2 linked regions of the Coturnix japonica genome follow. The protein of the gene in region 2 purifies or fractionates together with the protein of the main gene of each other region. This does not show direct contact. Links are inferred from orthologs where the notes say so. Each region holds a gene or a part of one and is shown on either strand. Other genes may lie near its edges. The genes, in order: FAM20B and GOLPH3.

Region 1 (3,827 bases), on a different chromosome or scaffold from region 2:
TTTATTGCAAATCTAAGGACAGCAATTGCATAAATAAAGTCAACAGCATCTCTGCACTTCACTTACATGCAGCACTGATACAGAGGAGCTAGGATGCTTCTTTCATCCAGGGCAGGGTTGCCAAAGCTGAAAAGCAAAACAAAAGCAAATGAGTTGAACACAATGTTGCTCTCAACATCAACAGATTTGTAAAGAACTCAAAAATCAATACTAGGCAATTTCATGCTCCAATAGCTCAAGTCATTTGAATGAGAATATAAACAGGTCATGACCAATTACAGATATAACCCTCAAGTGTCAGCTAACACACCAGACACATGGAAGAAACACGAGTGTACCCAGTTCTTTATCAGATCAAGGCACCTCAGGAAACAAACCTTAGAGGAGCTGAGGAATGGAGTTCATCTTGTAAAGTGGAGGAAAGCAGTAAGTAGTACTCTGGACACAGGGCATGAGTTTTGCTTGTCTGATACAGCTGGACAGGGAATGAGTGACACAGCAGCCACGTGCTAGTTTAGACTGCCAAGTTTAGATCAACAGTTCAGTGTACACGGTGATCAAGCTTAATACTTCACGATCACACACCCTAAGGGAGATCTGCCAAAAGAATTCAATTGTATTTTAACCTTAACATTGCTTTCAACAAAGAACTTTCCCCTCAGTAAAGATAACTTACCTTATGAGTCCGGCACTACTCTGCTCCAACAATTCTCTTGTTAGTGGCTTTAAGAAGCTGTTTCCCTACACTAATCTCAAAGAAGCAGAAAGAATTTTACCCAAGCTTTCAAAAAATCAATTTACTTCTTGGCCTGTAAAGCCCGACCAGAAGTGTTTCTGTAACACCATGAGCACACACCATAAAGAAAGGTCTGTTGTGATCCTCAACTATTACGTTCACTTCCAGGGACTAACAAATTAGCATCCTCCCGGCCCACTTCCAATGCATTACAGAAAGCCATTTTTTTTTGCCAAATTCACCTCGAGCAATCTGAACACAGCAATAATTTAGCAATCTCAAGGTAGAACACATCCTGCTGACATAATTGAAGGAGTGTTACTGAAAAGGCTAGCGTATAAAGACAAAATGCTCAGCTCAGCTCCTTCAGACACATCAGAAGCAAAGGAAGAGGGAAGGAAAGGAGTCCATAATATGGAAGTGAAATGGAGAAAGAGCAGACACAATAGTAAAGGTTGGCCTCAGGAAGGACTTCTCATCAGTTCCTCCCAGTTACTACTACACTTCATTTTTGTCCTGATAACAGTTCATGTTTTATATAAAGAAATGATTTATTAAGTCCCTTAAATATTTTCCAACATGTGGTTCTGCAAAAGTGGCATTCCTAATAATGTACCTGAAAGTATGTTTTTCCTCCTCTACCATATTTTGCTTTCAGTATCAGTTCTATCGTCATTTTAAACTTCTGTTGATATAGCAGACAGATCCAGAAGGCACGGAATGCCAGATCACCCAGAGCAACATTATAAAGGGAGCTGCTTATACCACAGCACTCACACATAGCAAACCCTATAACCTAACATTGCTTAAGACAATACAACTGAGAGGGGGTCTGTGGTAGGAGAAGCAAACAAACCTTTAAAATGCTGCTTCTAATAAATGAGTTCTACTGGATTAATTTGGGAGTTCCTGTAGTTTGACTAAGGCTTTACCCATTACAATCATAAGCAGAGCACAAAGTACCACAGCCTCTGAAAGTACCTAATATTTTGTGAGTATTAAGAAAGCAAGCTTTGGATTTTTAGGGAAAACAAAACAAAAACCAATTAGTAACAGAAAAGTAAGCAAGAGAAAGACAGAAAACAGAGAGAGCAGATAAATGCGAGTCCTCACACCTGCTGAGGCCCGGCCACCAGGATTTCCCCTACTCTCACCTTTTGGCATTATCCAGAAGGATGAGCATACTGGCTCCTTCGTCGTCCTGAAAGCTCTCATAGTGATGCCGGTCAGCATTCCCAATCAAGTAGTCGAATATTGCTGTGTCAATGATATCCAGCAGACGGGGGCCCGAGTCGTAGGGTGAAGTCTTCTTCACAGCATCACAATAGCTTTCATCATATTCCCACCTGTAGGCCAGCAAGAGAAATCAAACTAAATCAAGAGAAAGATCCATCCTTGCACACCACAAGTATTTACAGCCATCCCAGTATTCAGTCATCAGTGCTTAAAGAAAAGTTGAGTGCAGCAAATCAAGGCTCTGAAAGAAGAAAGAGTCAGACAAAAATGTCATCAGAAGAATAAAACCTATGTTAACGCTTTACTGTACAGAGCAAGTCACAGTTCTAATGAAAGGTTTCGTATCGTCTTCCCACAGAACAAGCCAGTTTGCTTACTCACTGATTGCAAGCCAGCAGTGTTCAGGCTGCCTCATGGCATGGATGGATGTCCATCGTGACTGGTTTGCTCTCATTTCATCCAGATTTCAAGTACTACGGCTATTTTTACTGCTACGATCTGCTCCCATCAGCTTTGCTTTCCAGCTACCTCCTGACTGTTTTCCTGTCTAATGCAATAACTTCTTCATAGTTACTAATGATCTCCACTGGCTTAAAGAGAAGGGCCCCACGTATGCTCGTTCTTTCACTCATAGTTGCCTCTTTCCTCTGCACCTTTTCTTTTGGAATCTCTCACCTTCTCCATTGGCAAGATTCAAAGCTTCTCTGTTCTCTCCTTTTCTTATGCACATAGCATGTGCACACACCTGTAGACTTAGAACATAAATATCACATCTCCATTCCCCAAAGCTCGGTTTCTAAATTTTCCCCTTTCCTTCTTCACAGTTTTCAGAGCTATGCACCACCACCACCACCAAATCAGCCAGAACTCTGGCATATTTCCTTTCCATCTGTCAACCTAAATAACAAGTACATCTATAACATCCTCCATGTAAAGAATGAAACGATCCTTTGCAAAATAGCAGTTGGCAATGCCTTAAACCATCTGCAAACTGGAAACAAATGGAGGAAACAAAAGCTGGAAGGACTGACGTGCTCAAAAATGTGCAGACTAATAAAAGCTGAGAGAAGATCAGAATTTAACAACTAGAGCTGTCACACACACCAACCTCACCTTCTAAAGGCCTGGACTCTAAGCTCCAATATCCCATCTTACCTCCAGTTATCCAAAAGGAAAGCATCACAAAATTACCTTCTCAGTGCTTTTGTTAGCACTTCTCTAGTTCCATTTTTCTTTTGCATCCAGGTCAAACTTGTATTCAATTTACAGCACAAACCCACAAGGCAAATGCCTCAGAATGCATTATTCCTTGTACTTAGAACACTACCTACTCTCTCCCCTTCAAGCGTTTCTATTTTACTTTGGATTGGTACTTAAATATATCTGAAACAATGTTGAGCTATGCTCTGTTCTTCCCATTTTTCATTGAATTCTCAGGACAGATCTTTCTCCAACATCTATTACTCATTCTTAGTATCTAATTAGCCTTGGACTTTGAAGGTCATGTATTTTATCTATTACATGTCCATTAAAAATTATGGAGACTAATGGCACTATATGAATTATGTTCAAGAGGCCAACTGAGGGCAGAGTATAAGCAGTGAGATCAGGAAGAAAACTCCTACAGTTACTTTTTCGTAATTACCAGAAGCAGAAAAAAAGGGAGTGAGACATCTGGAATGTTTCGTTCTCCTGATGCCCTCAAAGTGAAATGCACAACACAGTAAGATGTGGAACAACAGAGCCATGCAATCTGAATGAGTCAGGTTTAAACTACAGCATATATTAAGTGAGCACAGGTAGAACCCCACATAAGCAGGTAGTCCATGATAAAAAGCAATAAAGAACACATTTC
Region 2 (2,636 bases):
AACCAGTGCCAGCAAACGCTTGTCCATGCGGTGCGGGTCATTCACCCATTTGTCAAGAACTGCCTCCTGAACCTTCTTGATGAGGCGCTGTTTGATGTTGTTGTTGGTGAGAGGATGCGTAGTCATGTCAAAAAGAAGGAAGTTCTGTTTCTCTGTTGTCAGTACACCTTTTTCCACTAGATTTTTAGCTAACCGTTCACGGACATTTCGTAACTGGTAGTGCAACTTTAACGGGTTCCATGTTTCACCTAAAAAAACAAACAAAAAAGCTAGTCAGGCAAAAACTAAGCTGAACTACACAGTGATTTTTTTTCCCTGTGGTGCAGAGTGAGCTGTCAAATTCATATAGCTGACTACTACCGTAAGACAGTGTGGGCATGTCAGCATTTCTCTGATCCCTGACCTATCCAGACACATTAATAAGGACAGAAACCATGAGAACAAATTTGAAGAGTTTCAGGGTATGTTTAAAGTTGGGATTAAATGCTAGCTAAGTCATGCCTTGACCGAGAATACAATAAATAAGCACTCTTGTACTGATGGAGAACAGTCACAAAGAGTTTTAATAGTAATAACAAAAACATTTATTATATAGAATTTAAAAAGCACTTCCTCCATCCTTGTCCATTTAGAACAGAGTAGGTGAGTTGGAAGGAACCTTCCAAGTTTGTCTAGACCAGCTGCCTGACTTCTTCAGGGCTAACCAAAAGTTAAAACATATTTGTCTGCTTCCAGTATTTATCAATTCAGAGACTGGAAGAACTGTCACCACCATTCTTTCTGCCATAAAGTTAAGTTTATGTGTAACTACCCTACATAACTGTTTATTCTGTATCCTCGAGTTTATGCTCTTTCCCCCATTTCCGCTCCTCTCAAGGGCACTTCAGAGCACATGTATGCACTTAAGAGAAGGGAATTTTTAAAGCACAAAGTATGCCAACAGCTACATATGCAGCTGAAGTTGTTAAGCACTGAGAAATCCATCTTTGTTTAAAAGTTTACTTTGCCTAAAATTTTTAGGTATAGCTTACCTTGGTGTTTCAGCATTAAGATCTCCTCCTGATATTAAAAAGCCACTGCACTTTTACAGGTGAGGAAAGATAAACAGCATTGAACATTTCTCATGTAGAAACAGTTTTTCTGTAAACAATATAACAACTTCTACAGCAGTGTGTTTCTATTTTTCTGTTACTTTTCAGTAATAATAAATAAAAACACAGAAGAATTTAAGTCTTTCCCACTTAGTTCAAGGTGACAAGCTTTATGCAAGTAACAGCCAAGTCAAGTAAACAAATGGGGTGACACCAACTGCATCGTAAAAGTCCTGTAGGTCCCACTCTTTACTGCCATGGGATTTTACAGCTTGACCACGAATGAAACTATCACACACCATCACCCCCCAAATGGCAGTGTCCTTTCAGCTCTTCACAGAGCAAACAATTCTTCTTAGATGCTTCTAAATCTGGTATGTGGATGCGCCTGTGATAATAAAAACTAGTACTGTGGTGACACCTTGTGACCAATCTCTACCACTACACATTTATTCCAATACAGATGGATGGATGTTTTTAATACAGGGAGACTTGGCTTTTTGACCCAACATTCTGTATTCCCTGTACTTGCCTCTCTTTGAGGTTATCTTATAAGCAACACCGGCCTAGCAAATGTAGCTTCAAACATCCATATAAAGATTTCCACAATGGTTTTGAACTCATACACATTGGAACAGAAGCAGTATTCTTGCACTTCTGATAACGACAGCTGGAACAACTGTTTTCCCAGGATCAGGTCCCAGATTAAAGAGCTCTTTTAAAACATTCTTCAAACAGCAGTTCTCAACCATGAGAAATGCAAAATACCCTAGCACCATAGAAGAACCAGTAATTACTGGTGCAAGCAAAAAGGATTGATCTAAGTCTCAGCCACTGCACTAATGGTAATAATTTTTCTTAGAGCCAAAGTTTATCAGGCTCATGCCCCAAGGAAAACCTACAATATATTTCAGTTATTGCATAAACTTCTTTGAACCAGCACAAACTTGATGTTGTTAAGGCGAAATGTCTGTATTTATGAAAAGAACTGCCTTTACAAGCTGCAGAAGTGAAGGAGGGCTGGGCAAGAACAGACTAAATCGTGAGGATGTGCTGCAGCCCTGCCCCCTACTGACAAGAACTCTTTCATTCTCTCTACCTACTGACCAACACTCACAGAACTAGAAAGAAGGAATGGAAAGGACTAAGTATGAACTGTGCAGGAGAACATGAGAGAGCAAGTAAGGCTTATTGAGGTAGTACAGGAAAAACAGAAATACAAAGAAGCAGAGAACTGGACAAAAAAGCCAGTATATGCTATTAAATGTGGCTGTTGATCAGCTTAAATTATACAGCCCATGACTACAGCTGTTGGAGAGTTATATTAAGAGTTTTAACTGCAATTGTAAAAATGAAATCAAACTGATGTTTTTCCTTTTTTTTTTTTTTTTCCCAAAAAATGTTTAGCTTCATATGAAGATCTGCACACAAACCACACAGATCAACTAAAAGTGATATGCAGTATTTGAAAATATTTGTTACATTTCCCCAGGTATTAAAAAAAAAGAACTCGTCTTTATTATTTCCTTATGACTGATGGCTGAA

Evidence for each region.
Region 1: the proteins of GOLPH3 (region 2) and FAM20B purify together in Homo sapiens (affinity purification with mass spectrometry; 3 studies listed by BioGRID and IntAct, with this or other methods). This does not show direct contact. The link is inferred for Coturnix japonica from reciprocal best matches to the Homo sapiens genes GOLPH3 and FAM20B.

The regions. Positions count from the first base shown.
Region 1 is NC_029523.1:5,510,370-5,514,196, reverse strand, and holds part of FAM20B (glycosaminoglycan xylosylkinase), read right to left. Parts: intron 2,083-3,827; coding exon 1,891-2,082; intron 127-1,890; coding exon 67-126; intron 1-66. UniProt on the Homo sapiens protein: Responsible for the 2-O-phosphorylation of xylose in the glycosaminoglycan-protein linkage region of proteoglycans thereby regulating the amount of mature GAG chains.
Region 2 is NC_029547.1:8,894,502-8,897,137, forward strand, and holds part of GOLPH3 (Golgi phosphoprotein 3), read right to left. Parts: intron 249-2,636; coding exon 1-248. UniProt on the Homo sapiens protein: Phosphatidylinositol-4-phosphate-binding protein that links Golgi membranes to the cytoskeleton and may participate in the tensile force required for vesicle budding from the Golgi.